Saccharomyces cerevisiae S288C: one gene and its partners. The gene in region 3 interacts genetically with the main gene of each other region. Each region holds a gene or a part of one and is shown on either strand. Other genes may lie near its edges.

Region 1 (7,791 bases), on a different chromosome or scaffold from region 3:
TTTTCCTATTTATTAAAAATGCTTGAGCGAATGGATATTTTAACACATTAGTGTCCTAAAGGACAATTGGATTTGAAAATAAAATGACAGTAATAGACAAAAAGAAAACTGAATGAATGAATGGACGTATGGATTGCTTAATGAATGAATGAATTAAATAATAGTTGGGCGTAAGTTCAGAAGATGAGGAATTTAAAACAAAAATAATCGTTGACAAAAAACGATTCAAAAAAAAATTAGATCATTTTGGTAGGGAGCAATGCTAACCCTGCAAAGGCAGTGGGAGGATTTTGGATACGTGTTCGGAAACAGAATACAAAATATAAAGATGGCAATAGTTTGCTTTACCATTTTTTTCCGGCTCAAATTTTGGGACTTTAGTAGGACGTCATTGCTTAGTTGAATTTTTTATTTTTTATTTTTTATTTTTCTTTTGTCTTTGATTTCTGCGTAAAATATTTGTACAGTAAGAAGGAAAGAAAAAGAAAGAAAAAAAAGTATTATGGCAAAGTGAATTGAAGTTCATCAGATGTTCTAGCGGTATTCATGGCAGGCATATTGGAAATACTAGCGTTGCGGCTCATATTAACTTGATTATATGGGCCTTGACCAATATGCTGCGACTTCATTGACAAACTTGAATCCCAGTTTGCACCTTCCGTTTGATATTGCATACGAGGCACAAAAGATTCATTGAAGTTTTGACTATTTGCATTAGAGTATGGCGAGAAGTGATTAGCATTAATTTTGTCGGTTTCATTCATCATAAATCCAGGCTGCTTAAATCCCCTTGAAACATTAGGATTCACATTGGTAATGTTAGATGATGAGAACGAATGGATTGGTGCAGCAGAATTAGGATGTGCCATTAAATTTGCAAACTGGCGGTTGTCGAAGTTTTGTAACGAGTTATGGCTTACCAATGGTGGGTTAGTTTGAGAATTGAAAGAAGGTGCTCCCATCGAGGGATATGCGTTTTGGTTGAAGTTCATAATTTGTTGCGGAGAGTGAATTTTCTGATCTTGTGCATATTGGTTTGAGAAATTATTGGTTACAGAGCTGTTACTTCTTCTATGGTAAGCATTAGCTGGTAAAGAAAAATGACGGGTATGACTCTTTTGATTATTATTGTTATTATTATTGTGAGCATGGTTATGATTATGATTATGATTATGATTATGACTATTTTTGTTATGGGGGTTCTTATTTTCGTTGTTAATCGTTTGAAGATTGTTATGACTCATTGCAGTGACTTGAGGAGATATGTCAGTGAATGGTATACCTGTGGCTTCTGCATAAGCTTTAACTTTCAACTTAATTTTCTTTGCATAGGATGTAGTTTTAATACTTGGAAGTAATTCTTTTGTAAGGACAATCAAGTTACCAATTTTCAATGAAAAATCGTTACAAAAGTTACCGTAATTCAATGTACTAGAGCTGTTTTGCCCAATTGCGTTACTATTTTTGTTGTAAGCAAGCAGAGGAGAATAATTCTTAACGTCTAATAGCGTTTGTAACGCATAATTACCAAAATTATCCCTGATTAGCACATTTAAATTGACTGTGAATATATCAATGGTAGTCAAAAGAATGTTCATAGAAGCATTAATCACGTCATCAGAAGCAACTGCAGTCCTTTGGGAGGCACCCCCATTGTTATTAACAATAAATCCAGTAATGATTCTAAATAATTTTTTAATGAATTTTTCCACAACATTTGAGGAGAACTTCAAACAAGATAGTTGACATAATTCATTGGATAAACGGTTAAATAACTCAGCCAATAAGTAAAAGTCCAATTCTTTGATATCTAACAGAAATTGGATGATATAATTACCGAACTGATCGTTGATTAATCCAGGAAGGAACTGCACAATTTTCACAGAAATTTTGAAAATTTGTTGTAGAGTACAAACGCTTAGTAATTTTTGTAGTACGCAACAACCATGTTTATGGGTAGAAATGGTAATGATATTATTTTGTTCTACAATAGCATCTATGATGAAACCAAATTTTGATGGCGAGAATTTGAAAATACACTTTTGAATCACATGGTTACCATTAAGATCGTTTATCAAAGTAACCACTTGCTCAATCGAAGTAAATTCTTGGGAAAATCCCTTAATAATGAGATCGATTTGAACTTCGTTATCGACAGTGTCTATAATTTTCTGTAAGGAACGAGTTCCGTACTGATTGATTGATATTTGGAAAACATTTGGATATATTGTTTGTATTAATAATGTCTTTTGCTCGGCAGTTAAATAATCGCATAGTTTTTGAACCAAATAGTTACCGAACGGATCCAAAATAAGGTCCAAGAAAAATGGCTTAATTTGTTCATACATCAAGTCTCTCACCATATTGGATTCACTGGGGGTTTCTAATTTTTTTTGAAGAAAACGGCAGCCAAACTGGTCAGTGGCAAGTTTGATATAATCCAGATCTCTAAGGGGTAGTGCGCTGATTTCGACCATAGATGAAGACGTTGAGCTACTCAAACCAAATGACGAATTATCCACTCCACATTTGGAAGCAGCATTATTACTATTGCTAAAATTTCTGAGAGATGCAGCAGGAGTCACTGAAGAGGATGGTGTTTCCATAATTAAACTGGAGGTATTGACACCAGAGTTCGAAGGAGCAACAACCGTGAAATCGTGGCTTGATTTTCTCCTGGGACCATCCATTTCCAGATCAAACTCATTGATTAATGGTAGAATGGCTGGAGGATTTGCCATTGAGGCTGAAAGCCCAGTGGAGTTGCTAGCAGCATTAGGATTCGGGGAAAAAGAGTTAGCAGAATTCGATGTTGATGTATTATTCATCAAAGCCAAGGGAGATTGTGTCGATGATATGAACTGATTAAAACCAGAGAGATCAAGCGAATGAGCCTTTTGATGGTTTCTTTTGTTATTCATCTGGCCCAAAGGCGGAGGGGTCACGGGCTCCAAGAGTGATTGGACGGAGTTAATAGATAGTTGAGGCTGATGATTGTAAGACATTAAGGAGTTATTTGATGTAGACGTAGTTAAAATCGATGCTGAGTCGGCAGATGGAAATGGTTCGTTATTGATCTGATTGAATAAAAGAATGTTGTGTTAGTAAAGTGAAACCACAAAAATAAGGCGTGTGCAGAGCCGATTTTGGAGTATAAGCCTAGGATCAATTTCGATAACTGAGAAAGAGAACAATCACAACCATGTACAGTGTCCAGGTGGCCTGAGATGCGTGAGAATCAAGAGTAAATCTATCTATAAAGTTCGACTTCAATGGCGACAGAGGATGGCAAAAAAAGAGGACAGGAAAAGAGGAAGACAAAACACAAAATTTATGCTTGATTTTAGAATGAAACCTATAACCATAAAGAGTAAAATCCTTATAACTCTCAACGAATCTGCATAAATTTTTCATAGATCTTCGAATCTTTTCTTTTTTTTTTTTTTTTTGCTCATTTTTGCCTGAGGCGCCTCTTTCCCGAAGCCCTTCTTTCGAGAAAATCCTTATAGGCATATTCGAGAAATAAGGTAGGGTCAAGTATCAGAAATTCCATACGACATAAACGGAGATTGTTAGACCGCTAAAAAAGGCGTGTCGATAGGCTGATCCCACTGAAGCTGGTTTTTGGTTATTATGCTATTTGTTGTTAGAAGATCCCGTTAAAGCTTATGCTCCATTGGCGAAGAAAAATATTGGGAATTAAGAGATAATACATACCATAAGAGAAACTGGAAAAATCGTAATTGATTTATAAATTTGCGTAGAATTCGCTTTACTATGTGTTGGAGAGGAGTTGAGGAGGTTTTTTTTTTTTTTTTTTTGGTTTTTTAGCTTTTATCTTAAGGAATAGTAAAAGTGGCGGTTGTAGTAGCAGGCTTTTGCTGATCCGTAGTCCAAATCTAGTAATTTCAAGGCGCTTGACTTCTTGATGTTATTACCTTTCTTTTATTACTTAACTTGCCAATCAATGATGTGTCAATGATCTTCTCGGGGCTAGCAGATCTGTTCTTTTTTACCTGTTCTCTTTTTGTGTGAAAAGATAAAGTAAATTATGAAATAGGCTGATCTTGATGTTGACTCAACAGTACCCAAGGTTTTGAAATGTGAATTGTGTTCAGTATATTCAATGTTTCAGATATATATTGAAAGGAAACCACCTATTATGCTTTTTAGGCCTCTATGTAAGAAAATCTATACGTTTAACACAGATGCGAACCAGGAAAGAAGAAGAGTTCTTGTAGGCCACGTTTAAGAATGGCAAGAGAGAAAAAAAGAATGATCACAAGAAAACTGATTTCAGAATTGTAATATCGGACGGCAATACTAGTGTAATCTGAACCACAAGGTTAGTCTTAGCTGGGTAAAACACCTGGCGAAAGAAGAAAAAAAATAAGGAATCTGGATGATTATAAACTTTTTTAAATTACCCTTCTTTTATACATGAAAAGGGCATACAGCATACATAAACGGTAAAGAAAAAGAGGCAATCGTCAGTATTAATTGGCTCTAAGCTAGTCCAGGAAATAACCGCGTATAAATCCAAACCGTACTTCAGAACATTCAGATCTTTCTAGCTACTTGAAAGCGCGTACCATTTCCCCAACCTTAATATGTATATTTTATCACTCACTATGCAGTACTAGGCCGCTTCTTTCTATTGCTTTTCAGATTGCCAGATGCAATATATCCCGCTTCGGAATTATTAAAAATTTAGGGGTTGGCCAGATGTTTAGAACCTCGCTTTCCAGTTAATTGCTTTAGGAAAAGAAAGGCCAATATTGTTGTCATTTTTGTATTTTTTGCGCGGTACTGACCTTTTACTGCGGCGTTTCGCGTTTTTTTGGCATTTCGCGTTTCAGTGCGGCCCCCCCTCCCCAAAAAAATGGCGTATATTTTTAGTTAGTTTCTTCATCGTTCGATGCCTAAGCCGAGAATTTCAGAAGGCTTCTAAGGGCCAGAGTAAAGAGATCCATTGAGCCCCCACCCAGTTGGCAGCGGATGCCGAAGGGCGGAAGGAAGGGGCGTGTATAGGCTTCTTTACGAGAGCAAAAGACATTACAACGTACAAGGGACATTCCGTTCCCTTGTACGTCATGTTAATGAGCAAGAAACCGCTCACCGGCAATGGTTGGTGGTAGTGGTAGTATGGACTCTTTGGGTGATGAAAAGTAATCAGAACATTCTGCAATTTCTTTACATTTCCAATACTTGCTCCATTTAATCCTTTCCTTAGGTGGCGATAGCCCACGCGAAAGACGACCTAGGGTCAGGAGATTATCAATGCACTTGAGGCTTTAACTACTATGGCTTAAGAAGGGTAGCTACTTTATTTTTGTGCTTTTAAGAAATGTAATCATTAATTAAGTAATTAGGAGGTCAAGACGAAAACCATAAATAGATTGTGTAGAAGGGGCCGTACATTTTGTTTCTTATGCAATGTGGTAGTTTCGTTTACCGCCCTCGCCGGTCCATCACAGCATTTTGGAGTTCCTTTCTAAGGTCCATCGGAGCACCTTTATTTTTTTTGCGCTTCGGATAAATTGCATTTGGTTGATAACTTCCATCTCCACCCGTCCCCTCGCACCGGACCTTTTAAAGATCCCTTTGTATATAATAAACCAACGGGTCCTATAAAGACTACCGCTGATATCTTCGGTTTGCACAACGTCCTTCAGCAAGCAAAATATGGCTGTTTTTATTCTCTGTATGTCCTCATTGATGAGGACTCGCAACAATCTTGGCTATTTTTTTCGTTGAGCATACCCGGTCCCTGAATCTTTTGTGCGGGTATTATACGAAGAGCGGGTGTGCCTTACTTATCCGCGCGGTATATAAAGCCATACATTGTTAGGACAGGTGTCCCCAATAAGAAACACTACTTGTAAGTGGTATATAATGCTCGAGCCTCTAGTGACTCGTACTCTACGCCTTGAAATTGCTGCGCACATATTCTGCATATAAAAAGGAAGCTTTGAAGAATATGGTACTACTTAAAGAACCTGTTCAGCCGCTGCCTCGATCATCTCTGTTATATAATAATGCGAGCAATAGTAGTAGTCGTATAAAAGAGACAAGAAAAGTCAAACTATTATATAATCCCTTAACTAAGAGACAAATCCTTAACAACTTTGAAATTTTAGCCACTTTGGGTAATGGACAGTACGGCAAAGTGAAATTAGCAAGAGATCTCGGGACAGGTGCGTTGGTTGCAATAAAAATTCTTAATAGATTCGAAAAAAGAAGCGGGTATTCTCTTCAATTGAAAGTAGAAAATCCAAGGGTTAATCAAGAAATTGAAGTAATGAAAAGATGTCATCATGAAAACGTTGTGGAATTGTATGAAATTTTGAATGACCCTGAGAGCACAAAGGTTTATCTTGTATTAGAATATTGCTCAAGGGGACCCGTTAAATGGTGTCCAGAAAACAAAATGGAGATAAAAGCAGTGGGACCATCAATACTCACTTTCCAACAGTCGAGGAAGGTAGTGTTGGATGTAGTATCGGGTCTGGAGTATTTACATTCCCAAGGGATAACGCATCGAGATATCAAACCATCGAACCTGTTAATTTCATCAAACGGAACGGTGAAAATATCCGATTTTGGCGTTGCTATGTCAACTGCCACCGGAAGTACTAATATACAATCATCGCATGAACAACTTTTAAAATCTAGAGCCTTAGGGACCCCTGCTTTTTTTGCACCTGAGCTTTGCTCCACTGAAAAAGAGTATTCCTGCTCATCTGCCATCGATATCTGGTCATTGGGGGTCACTATATACTGCTTGTTGTTTGGAAAGTTGCCTTTCAACGCCAATTCAGGATTAGAACTTTTCGACAGTATTATCAATAAACCCTTAGAATTTCCATCTTATGAGGAAATGTTGAATGGTGCCACTTCGGGAATCACAATGGAAGAATACACTGATGCCAAAGATTTATTGAAGAAGCTGTTACAAAAAGATCCTGACAAACGGATAAAACTAGCAGACATCAAGGTACATCCGTTTATGTGCCATTATGGTAAAAGCGATGCAGCATCCGTATTGACCAATTTGGAGACGTTTCATGAGTTGAAAGTTTCACCGCCCTCTTCATGCAAAAGGGTAGAATTGGTCAGCCTACCAGTGAATTCATCATTCGCCTCTTTAGATAGCGTTTATATGGAAAATTTTGACCACAATAACCTTAGGACTGGTGCTGACAGAAATTCAACATATTCTCCATCAATATACGACGCAAATACCTTATCACCCTCAGCATATCACAACATCGGTTCTAGAGAGTCATCCTATTCGTCCTTTTCCTCTTTCACATCATCCACCGCTTTTGCATCTCAGATCAGTATTCAGGATGCCCCAGCAATCGGTGATCAACAATGCTTGATAGGTGAGAGTGGAAGTTCATTAAGAGTGAATTCTTGTGAGTTTCCACAATATACAACTATGTCTCCTGTAGGAGAATATCCCTTTGAGAGTACGGAAGCAAGTTTGAGCTCTACTCTTACGCCTGTCGGTAATGTACCTCAACGTATAAAAGCCCACCTGGTAGAAGGGAAATCTAACAGCAAGGATGACCTTAGAATAGAAGCAGACGCATCACTTGTATTTGAGGCTAGCGACGCCCAGCGCACGAGAAGAAGAATGTCTCTTTATAAGCTTTAGCATGATATATGTAAATTATTTTAATAGATGTAATATATGATTAGAAACTTGATAGAAGGATCTAAGTTAATTGTCATGTCGGATCCTAATACCAATTCTTTTAATATTGTGTTTGTTTTTGAACGTTT
Region 2 (5,279 bases), on a different chromosome or scaffold from region 3:
TTGAACGCTTCATCCGAAAACAAAGAATTGTATGTACAAGCCACGCACTTTAATAACACAATTCTATTGCAAATCAGACTAAATGGGGAAATGGATTCCACCTATGAGGTATCTTCAAAAGGACTAAACCCAATTCTCGATATCAACGTACCACTGGCAGGAAACCTAGGAAACACGGGTGGCGATTATGACGATGAGGAAGAAGAATTTGTAAGAGACCATTTATCTGATTATCAAGTGGTTACCAAGTTGGGAGATAGTGCCGATCCTAAAGTACCCGTGGTATGCGTACAGATTGCCGAACTATATAGGAGAGTTATTCTACCAGAAGTGAGCGGTACGATGGCCCAAGACAACATGCAATTCAGCTTGCTGATATCCATGAGCAGTAAGATATGGAGAGCAACGAAGGAACAAAGCGCTGACGATAATGATTTTGGCAAATTAGTTTTTGTGTTAAAGTGTATCAAAGATATGTATGCAAAGTGATTCTATATAAATTAGTTATGCGTTGTATTATCTATGACTGCCATATCCAAGACTTGCACAGTTCCCTTTTTATCACATAGGGTCATCAAATCTCTATAATTGACAGGATCGATAAGACCTGTACATGTCCAAGGATCCAATTCCGGCTTCGTTGACTCTCCAGGCGATGAAGCTATCAATTTACTAATCTTCTCAATAAGTTCGGGTTGTCTAGATGGCTCACTTATGGCCACTTTGACTTTCATCTTCGCCCTTACTATTGGAATAATTTGCTTAGAAACCAATAATTTGATAGCCTCTAAAGCTTGCAATTTGGCAGGTTTGTTAATAACAGGGCTGAACTTCAGTTCCTGTAAAGCTTTGTGGATCATTGTGGGCGGATATCTTTTCTTTGACACAGGATTTATACATTTAGCGCTAACTATTGTAAGCATTTCGTTATTAACTTTATTAAGCATTAATTGTCTTTCTTTTTCCGATAATTGAATCTCTCCCTTATGCATGATCTCCTCGATGACATCATCAACATTTGTAGTCCCGAAACACTTTTGTAGATCTTCCTTATTAGCAACCAAGCCTTTCGAAACATTCATGAAAACTTGATGTATCTGCAGCACTTCATCCAGATCTTTTTCAATTCCTTTTCGATAGTCTTGGACCTTATTTTGGTAGCACGCGACTTCAAATCTCTTGCGAGCCTTTTTTAATCTCACTAATGAAACATTAGTTAACTTAATCTGTCCCGACGGTTGATTGATAGGCATTGCGTGTTTTACCTTTTCTTTCTCAGAACTATTTTAGTAAAAATTTTAAAAACTTTTACTACTGCATGAAATCACTTAAGTTCGGCCTAGAAAAATTTTTTCATGAACATTATTATATATACAAGGCACTGAGCAGAACAATACACGCTAAGTTTTGTTCTTTCATGAGGTCATAATAAGTTAAATAACAGTCAATACATAAATGCAAAACTAAAAGTACACAGTTTTATTATTTTCTTTTCGTCGTAATGTAGTTTTTATAATCAGTCAACTTTTTTTTTGCTTTTAGATTTCGTTTGTTCCTTTTGTCTTTGGATCCAAAGTTTCTTGAAAATGTAGCCAAAACAATGCCAGCAGGAATATCGAAAAAGATGGGTATAATATAAGTAAAAAAAAAATTTTAACAATGAAATAATACAGGAGAATTCGTGGTTTACAATTTCTGGTTTTTTTCGAAATTGCTATGTGGCTTCTCCAACAATGTAATTGTAGGCTTTTCTTTCTTTTAAGTCCGTTTATCGTATACAGAAAAAGTGCAGGATGTTGTAAGTAAAGGTAGTCAGTCATACCATCATGACAAAATCCACCTCTTGGCAAACATATCTAAAATAGCTCTATAATGGCCGATGACACCCAACACTACGAAGAAATGCCAAAAAGTGTGCGAACAACCAAAATAGTCAACCCACCATAGAGATTTAAATGATTTGGCATGAGACGGACAGGAACTGCATTTGGAATGGGCTGTTGGCACCTCTCTAAAATGAATTTCCCTTTGCTTTGTGATGATTTCTAAATCAGTAGATAATTCGTAGTTTGTTGGAATGGTCTTATCAACCTGAACGTCAGATCTGAACCGTTCAGGAATGAACGAACCGTAAAATACCACACCAACCAAATACCAAACAACAGATTTGTATGTGACGGGGCTAAATAGCGTTGCAGCATAATGAAGATCAGTCAAAAATATCAAATGTAAAAACGACAATACACCCATAGTAGCCAGCAAAATGAAGAATCTAATTCTTAATGGCCTTGCTTCAGGTCTATCAAAGCGAGGCGACCAATTCATAAACACACCAAATACACCCAGCGCCAGAGAAATACTCATGTAAGTGTACATCGCCCAGTAACATGAATACATGGTAACAAACTCCGTTGTCAATATCGAAGCTGTAATTAAGATCGTAATACCGCTATAGTCGACACACGCAAATTTAGAACGTAGCTTCAAGAAGGACGTTCCGTTGAAAGTATGCCAAAACACGGAGCTTAGCATACATTTCAACGCAGCTGCCAAAAACATGAAAACAATCCATCTAGCCTGTGGTGGAACCTGGGAATTCCGCCAAACTTCAGACTGAGGGAAATCGTAAATTGCCAAGTAGATTATATAAATGGCTCCTAACAAATGAGACCAAATATTTGAAGTTTCATTATGCCAGCCGTACCAGTTAAAGATAGACAACAAAGATTTGGAATGGGTATTGTAAAACCTATAGCCATGGATTATGTATCTGTTTTCCCTCCATGGGAATGGCAACTGATAATAATGTAAATGTTGAGTTTCACCTAGACTATACGCTTTGCCATGGTTGTATGAGTTTATAAAAGACTTGATATCGGTAGTAGGATTCAAAGGTTCTTCAATGAGGATTTCCGTCTTTACCATGGATTTTCTCATTGGACCGCAATAGTCTTTCACGCTGGAAATATAATTGTTTTCCTCTTTGATTTTTGTATCATTGAGACGACTTGTTGGGGAACGTAACGAGGACTTCGCTTGAGAACATACAGTTGAAGATGAAGACACCAGTGAAGTGGATGTAGAAGCATTGTTAAGCTTGAAAGTAGCGACTGAATTCACCAAAGTGGCTGCATCTGAATCTCCCAGTGAAAACTGAGATTCTGTATTCAGAGACTTGCCACTGTTTCTTTTGTACACAGAACTTGTTACTTCCTTTTCTTTTGTTGGACGAATTATCTCCAAATCATCATACCGCCCACTTTCAGAGTGTTTAACACTTTCATCAATAGTTGAAAATGGATGAGGAACGAATTTTGAGTAGTTGTAATTATAGATGGATTTACCGGATTTTTTCACCTTCTGAAAATTGTCCACACCCTTCTGCTTTAGCCTTGATAGAGATCCCATGGGTGAGGGTATATACTGAGTTAAGCTTTTGCTTGACGAGTCCATCATGTACTTAATTTGATTGTCTGTTGGGATGTGAACTATTTTTCAGCTTATCTGCGTTGCAGCTTCTTCTTTGTCCACTTTACAATGGCTAAACTTTACCAGACGACAAAACAAGTGTAGAATTTGAATCAACTGTGTCCTAAAGAAAAAATAATGTCCAAAAACTCTTATTATAAAACGAGTAAACCACCACTTCGCTCGAATCGCCAAGCTTTCTAGATGTACACCCACGCTGTGTCACCTTATGACTATATACCTTATCCATCAACACTTTCTCCATTTCCTGCAGGGTAAAAAGAAAAGTGAAGTCACCCTGCACTATACGAGCTTCAGCCCATACCCCACACTAAAACATTTCTTTTTCTGCGGCATTTCTTTTTTTTTCGGTCCGTCCCTGTCCCTTCCCACGAGAAAGCGTAATGATCCTCGACCCTACCCCACTTCCCCACGCCAATTAAAACAGATAAAATTTCTTTTGATTTTTCGGATACGCTAATTTCGTAGCAATTTTGAATGACTAGACATTTGTTGGATAACTACATAGTCTCCCACCCACCAAGATCTGCACTGCCGTCCGTTAGTCGGAACACTATGTGCGGAATCATGTTGCCAAAAACAATCTCATTCGCTAGATTCGCGTATCTCGCCCGATTCAAATAGACGGGAGTACCGAATTTGTAGTCTTCGTTGGTCTCTCCGTATTTACTTAGATAAGGTGCAGCATAAAATGTACCTCTTTTGCCGTATGACAGATATATCGCATTTGTGCCGGTCATTAAGAAAACTCCGTAAGCGGAGGTGATTTCGCATCCATTTCTCATATGATCAGTACATTCCCCCTGTAAATAACCTTGCAGTGCTATGCTTTTTTGAATATGGCATTTTTGGCCACACAACAAGCATACTGCGATTTCGTATTTATCACATTTATTCGATATTTCATCATTATCAAGGGAAAATTTGGAAAGGTTCAATGGTAGTTCGATAAGCTGGATATGCTCTGGTGAAGGATATGCTCTTGTGTTTATGTTCTGCACCATGTCATATATTACTTGCTGAATTCTCAAATTATCATTACCATCATTATACCTTTCTATATTTTGTGTTAGTTCGTTGTAGAAAAAATCCTTCAAAAAGTGAGTTAAATTGGGTAATTTAAAATACCGGAAAATAAGCTCTATTTCACGCTGTTTGACGTCCATGAAATTATTGCTGCGGTTATTATTATTATCACCATCACCATCATCATCATACTGAATGTTGAATAATAAGAAGGTTCTTCTACAAAAAATGGACAATGACTCTAGTAATAGAGAGCATATAAAGTCTTTAATTTTCTCTAAACTTGTAAAATCAAACCGAACGTCGTCTGGTTTAAAGAGATCAACATACTTTTTAAAAGTATTGAATAGATATGAAAAGCTTGTCGATGGTTCCTCAGATCCGTTTGATGATATTTTGATTTTATTTCGACAGTCTTTGTAAAAGTTTACTCTCATCATATCTCTTGCAAGCAACAGTAGTAGTTGATGGAACCTTCTTTTGAACATTTCATAGATACATAGGTTAGGCGGTTGCGGGGTTTTTCCTCCATCAATATTATCAAAATTTTGACTCATATACAAAAGTAGATTCACATTATTACCCTTTATTAGAAACTCATTCCAATTCCATATTTTACGAGAGATTTCGCTGCTGAATGTTTTTGAATTAACAAATTTTTTGTAAATAAACGACTTTAGCTCACAAACTAAATGTAAGGTTAAAATGCACTGACTGGATATTCTTTCCATATTCACTATTTTTCCTTCCTTTTTGTGCGATCT
Region 3 (6,513 bases):
CCCTTATATTTCTTGTCATCTTTAAAGTTCAACGAAAGAGGTGCCATTGCAGAATATTTGTAATATTAATCTATATATAGCAAATGCTTTAGAGTTGCTGAGGCTAAAAAGAAATTATAGAACAACTATAAAATATTAAGTCCGGATACACTGCTTCCTTTATACCATGCCCTTCCCTTTATAGTGTAAAAACGCGTAATCTTAATCAATCTGATATATTGGTTTGCCGCCGAAGTCAAGTTCTCCTGCTAAAACGAGACAAAAAGAACACGTGAAAGAAGAAAGAAAAACGTTACGATAAAATAAGTTTTATACCTACTTTCATATCTACCAAAGGAACACAATGAATTGCCGTATGTTATTCTTGAAGTAAGAGTCAAGTATTATTTATGGACTAGTATTCACGTTACTAGTACATTATCACATGCGGTGTAAGAAGATGATATAAAAATTGAGGGACAGTAATCAAATTCAACGGAAGTCAAAAAGGAAGGATTGGTAATGTATAATATCGAAAAATGTGCGAAATAGTTGATAATTGTTGGAGTTTTATAGTTGTTAAAGGCTATAATATTACGTATTTAGAATATACTAGAATTTCTCTATGAGAAGAACCCACGAAGAGATCGATATTCTCGATATAATGGCATTATTGTTATCCTTTTCATCTTATGTGACTGTCATTCATCATCCTACTAAATTATCAATCCTTGCAATTAGCTTCTATTACACCTGATGACTGTTTTTCAATCTTTATGTGATCTTTTTACACCCAATGTGATAAAGTACTAGTAACATGAATACTACTAAACAGATGATACTTTAGAGTTTTCATTCCAACACTCAATTGTAAAAATAAGACAATATTATGATTTTTTGGCTGTATAACCACATCTATTTAGTAGCAGGGTGACATGTTACTCCCACACAATACTTCGCGCAAGTGGTTTAGTGGTAAAATCCAACGTTGCCATCGTTGGGCCCCCGGTTCGATTCCGGGCTTGCGCAATTTTTCCCCCTCGCCCTGAAGGGCGTAACGTTAACGCTTCCGGTAATTTGCGAATAATTTTTCTTCCCATTTCCCCTTTCTTTTCCCTTTAACATGTGGAGCATAGCAGGCTCTTTACTTTTTTACGCATTCAGACAGTCGGGAGGTCAATTGGTGGTGCCGGTTGTGGGAAAGAGGTAATTTTATTTCCTTTATTGGACATGATTTCAATAGTCACATTGGGGCAGGAAAAAGAAAAGGGAGAAAAAAATTCAGTAAAGAAAAAAAATAAGAAAAAGAGAAAAGAAACAAGAGAGGGCTACAGATTTCTAAATATCCTTTTGCTGCACATTTTTTATTTACCTGCTAATTGGTCTTAGTAATACAGAGTCGTGCATTTCCACTTTATAAGAAAAAAAAAAGGGATAACAGCACCAGCACTTGATTGAAAACTAGAAAGTTCACGTTTTATAAGTCCTTTCCGTTCTCTTTATCAGTTATAATAAAAGAGCCAAGACAAAACGTGGCAGGGAAGCTTTTCCAAGGAAAAGAGGGTTGTAATATTAAACAAAAACCGTAATCAAGCAAAATAAGACCCCGTGGTTTTTTATCATAGGAAAAGAGTTCTCTGTTGTCACTCTACCATATTTGACAAGAAAAAGGAAACAAAAGTATAGAAAAAAAAAACCTAAAAAATAATGGTCTTGATAAATGGCATAAAGTATGCCTGTGAGAGGTGCATAAGAGGCCATAGAGTAACAACATGCAATCATACAGATCAACCGCTTATGATGATCAAACCCAAAGGTAGACCTTCCACTACATGCGACTATTGTAAACAACTTCGAAAAAACAAGAATGCAAATCCTGAAGGTGTTTGCACGTGTGGCCGGCTAGAGAAGAAAAAACTGGCACAGAAAGCCAAAGAAGAAGCAAGAGCTAAAGCCAAAGAAAAACAAAGAAAACAGTGTACCTGCGGGACTGATGAGGTTTGCAAATATCATGCTCAAAAGAGACATCTAAGAAAGTCCCCTTCAAGTTCTCAAAAGAAAGGAAGATCCATTTCTCGTTCTCAACCAATGTTTGAAAGGGTATTGTCTTCTACTTCACTTGACAGCAATATGTTATCCGGCCACGGAGCACTATCAGATACCTCTAGCATACTGACGAGCACATTTTTAGACAGTGAGCCGGGTGTTGGTAAAATTTCAAAAGATTACCATCATGTCCCTTCATTGGCCTCCATTTCATCCTTACAATCCTCGCAATCGTTAGATCAAAATTTCAGTATACCACAAAGCCCGCCGTTATCTTCAATGTCATTTAATTTTCTCACGGGAAATATCAATGAAACCAACCAAAATCACAGTAATCATCAGCATTCAAAATCAGGCAATAACTGGCAAGATAGTTCGGTAAGCTTGCCAGCGAAAGCTGATTCACGTCTTAACATGATGGATAAAAACAACTCTGTGGGTCTTGACCTATTAGGCCATTCAAAACGAATATCGCCGATATCAAACTCTCGTGTGGGCGAAGTTAGCGTTCCGCTAGAAGAATATATTCCTTCTGACATTGATGGGGTTGGAAGAGTTACTGATAAAAGCTCTTTGGTCTACGATTGGCCATTTGATGAAAGTATTGAGAGAAATTTCAGTACAACCGCAACCGCTGCAACTGGTGAAAGTAAGTTCGACATTAACGACAACTGTAATAGAATTAATAGCAAAAGTTATAGTAAGACTAATAGTATGAATGGAAACGGTATGAACAATAGCAATAATAATAATATCAACAGTAATGGCAACGACAAGAACAATAACAACTCTTCTAGACAAGAACATCAAGGAAATGGACTATTTGACATGTTTACAGATTCATCGTCGATTTCAACGCTTTCCCGTGCAAACTTATTATTGCAAGAAAAAATTGGTTCGCAAGAAAACTCTGTCAAACAAGAAAACTATTCGAAAAATCCTCAACTTCGTCATCAATTAACTTCCAGAAGTAGATCATTTATTCATCATCCGGCAAACGAGTATTTGAAGAATACTTTTGGAAATTCACATAGTAATGACATCGGAAAGGGAGTTGAAGTGCTATCTTTGACACCGAGTTTTATGGATATTCCCGAAAAAGAAAGAGAAACGGAAAGATCGCCATCATCCAATTACATTACTGACAGACCTTTCACTCGAAAACCTAGATCTTCTAGCATTGACGTAAACCATAGGTATCCACCTATGGCACCAACAACCGTAGCGACATCTCCCGGTGCATTGAACAATGCCGTAGCAAGCAATCTCGACGATCAACTGAGTTTAACATCACTAAACTCTCAGCCATCATCGATAGCAAATATGATGATGGACCCTTCAAACCTAGCTGAGCAAAGTTCTATTCATTCAGTTCCTCAGTCAATAAACTCTCCGAGAATGCCTAAAACTGGAAGTCGCCAAGACAAGAACATTCACACTAAGAAGGAAGAAAGAAATCCGCTAAATAACATACACGATCTGTCACAATTGGAAAATGTACCAGACGAGATGAACCAAATGTTCTCCCCACCATTAAAAAGTATGAATAGACCGGATGCCATAAGGGAAAATTCATCTAGTAGTAATTTCATAATCCAAGGAAATAGCATGATCTCTACGCCTTCCGGAAGGAATGACCTTCCAGATACCTCTCCAATGAGTAGTATTCAAACAGCGTCACCACCAAGTCAATTACTGACCGATCAAGGATTTGCGGATTTGGATAATTTCATGTCTTCGTTATGATAAATTTGCTTTTCGTCTCTTGCTTCTCTGTAACTGTAGTTTTCCTCCTCCCACATATATATATATATATACACTTTTATACACCTAATAATATCATCGGCATTATGATTGCTTATACATTTTCATAATCAATATTACTGTTCACCATTTGAATCACTGCAGAAATATGCACTGCGCCTTCTTTTTCTTTGCCTGAAGCACCCACACACAAGAACAGGAATGTGAATGGCCTCCCCATCTCACTTTTACTTAATAGTATTCTGACAATATAAGGTATCAGAGAGTAAGACCATTATTAGGCAAACAATAATCTTCAGAATTTTTAGTAGCGCATTCTCAACCTTTCTAGGTGCGTTTTTCTAATGAAATAGTATCGTTTTCCTTCCGCATTCCTTGCGTAGTTTGTTGTGTAAATATAGCAATAAGAAACCCTATAAATCATTATGATGTAACTCCCGATTCTTTTAAATAATTACATAAACTAGGAAGGCAAGTCCGAACACGCAGAGATGAGGTATTTGCACTCAATGACAAATCTAGGTTTAAACTACGGGGCTCCATACCTTATCTCTTCACTTATCAAAAGTAGGCAAAAGAAAAGAAAATAAATATAATTTCTTTTTCTGCAGGCAAGATTTTAAAAGAACTTGCGCGTCCTCTGTGCAATCTACCTGGGGAGTCTCGGGCTTTAACCGCTCCCCATTCTAAACTGCTTCCATTGACGTGTACTATACTGCTCACTTCTTGCTCTTCGAGCAACAAAATCTGTATTACGTTTCTTACACTAGTCGAGTGAAAGAGATAAGATACCCACTTTTACTTGCCGGGAGAATGGAAAAGAGAAAACGGAAGAAAGGGCTTAAATACATTTTCCTTTAATATGAACATCCTACTGTAAGATAAAAATTGGATGCTGATAATGGAAAGGAGACATGTACGGTATGTACGGCAAAACCTCGGCGGGTTTTCGCCGCTAGCTCATATATTCTTTCGTTAAATTTTAAAATTTCTTATTCTAAATCTTCTTTACATGTTTGGAAAGAATTTATTGGAGAGAAAAATCTAGACCTGCCAAGCCGATAAACGAATGCCTGCGAAGAAATAGTGTAAATATTACTCCTGAAGGTAGAGTCATCTAGGCGGAGACGAAAACAAAGTTTAGCTTTTCGTGAAATTGCCCATTTCATGTTTATCAACCACCAAAGGTTAAATGGAGGTTTGACAAAAGAAATTTTCTTGCTAAAGGTTAGCATTTTTTTTGGAATTTTTTTTCCTTCGACTGGCTGTAGTTGTCCTTCTATATTACGTACAACAAAAACTTTCTTGAATGAAGAATTAGTTCTATCATATAGACCATAAGAAAGAAAACGCACTTGGATAATTTTTAACAAAGAAGAGGGCAAACTGACGCTCACCAAGCTATTGGTTTGTTTGGATCAATCGTCAGATATGAAGCCGAACAATCGAACTTGTGATGTAATTACCAACAAAGATGAATCTCTTCCTGCACTTTTGCTGCCTGCACTGAACAGTTACACCTGTGACGATTCATTGCTAAAAGGACAAATTTCAAGCAATGGCAGATATCAACCATTCGGGTTTTCTGATTGCTCTTTACTGCCAAAGCGTTTAAACATTCAGGCAGGGCAAGGATCTATGCCAGTTTCTTCGATTCAATGTGCAGACCACAGTTATAGTAATTGGCAAAAAGAATCCGAAAAGACTAAGCTTCCCAAGCTTGGTTGCCCAACAGAGTACACTGAATACTATAAAACTGTTTCTTCCGGCGAAACAACCGATTCAGCGGTTGTTTCATCTATAGCAACGAACAGACTCAAAAGAAAACGTCAGAGGGACGGCCCAAGTTGTGACTCTTGTAGGATAAAGAAAATAAAATGCAATGCAACAATCATTATCTTTTTACAGGATAGGAACCTAATTTCATCAATTTCTTCAAATTTGCATTATACACTTTCCCAAGACGACATAAACCAGTTTCGAATGAAGTTTTTCAGGAAACTGCCTGACGTGATGGGCACATATGAAGTCATAAAACACCTTGATAAAATAGTCCTTTTCAAAGCCTGCACCTCTTGCAGTAGAAGAAACCAAAAAAATGGAAAGTGTCTTTTTTCGAGAGGATTTACAAAATCTGATATGAACGTATTTCCCAAGATAAATAGTAAACTTAAAGACAAAAGTATCTTCGAGATGACTGTCGATGATTATGTTGCCGCTGGCTTCCAAACCCTTTAGGTTTCATGCATGTAATTTCCTCCTATGTAAAATATAGGAATATTAATAAAACGCACCAATAATAAGTTAGATATTTTTCTGCAAGATATAAATTTGTTTACTCATACATATATATTCTATTGCGGGGCGCTCTTGTATAAGTAATTCAATAAAAAACCTCTATATGATACAATTGACCAAGCCTTCATTTACCATTCTATATCAATTTGGAAAGAAGGGTATTTCTCTATTTGGGCTCTACATTATAACGCAATCTTATACCCATTGCGGATAGCTCAGAGTCCAAGTACTTCAACACAAATGGTATGGCCACCGTAGTTGTTTCATTACCACCAACAAATTTGTTACCTTGTCCATCTTCCCAAATTTGAGAGTCGTCAATAAAAATTTTCTCTCCATCTTCTGATTTAGTCAATAGCTTCTTTGCATCTTCGAATCTCATGGAACAACGACGGCAACAAACGGTGGAAATCGAACCAATTCTTG

The links. A genetic interaction does not mean that the proteins touch.
Region 1: mutations in HAA1 (region 3) and MPT5 impair growth when combined (synthetic growth defect), as found in Saccharomyces cerevisiae (one study listed by BioGRID).
Region 2: mutations in HAA1 (region 3) and SDO1 impair growth when combined (synthetic growth defect), as found in Saccharomyces cerevisiae (one study listed by BioGRID).

What each region holds. Positions count from the first base shown.
Region 1 is NC_001139.9:163,281-171,071, reverse strand, and holds MPT5 (Mpt5p), read right to left. Parts: upstream 3,721-7,791; coding exon 3,718-3,720; intron 3,078-3,717; coding exon 501-3,077; downstream 1-500. Other genes in the region: serine/threonine protein kinase TOS3, read left to right, coding at 5,981-7,663. UniProt on the Saccharomyces cerevisiae protein: RNA-binding protein involved in post-transcriptional regulation. Negatively regulates expression of HO by binding to the 3'-UTR of HO mRNA. Predominantly binds to mRNAs encoding chromatin modifiers and spindle pole body components.
Region 2 is NC_001144.5:183,674-188,952, forward strand, and holds SDO1 (guanine nucleotide exchange factor SDO1), read right to left. Parts: upstream 1,254-5,279; coding exon 501-1,253; downstream 1-500. Other genes in the region: IRC25 (Irc25p), read left to right, coding at 1-489; IZH3 (Izh3p), read right to left, coding at 1,825-3,456; putative ubiquitin-protein ligase UBR2, read right to left, coding at 3,990-5,279. UniProt on the Saccharomyces cerevisiae protein: Involved in the biogenesis of the 60S ribosomal subunit and translational activation of ribosomes.
Region 3 is NC_001148.4:571,332-577,844, forward strand, and holds HAA1 (Haa1p), read left to right. Parts: upstream 1-1,686; coding exon 1,687-3,771; downstream 3,772-6,513. Other genes in the region: REC8 (Rec8p), read right to left, coding at 1-47; SUT2 (Sut2p), read left to right, coding at 5,221-6,027; DNA-directed RNA polymerase I core subunit RPA135, read right to left, coding at 6,254-6,513. UniProt on the Saccharomyces cerevisiae protein: Regulates the transcription of a set of genes, many of which encode membrane proteins. Among the genes regulated are YGR138C and YRO2. Does not seem to be dependent on copper.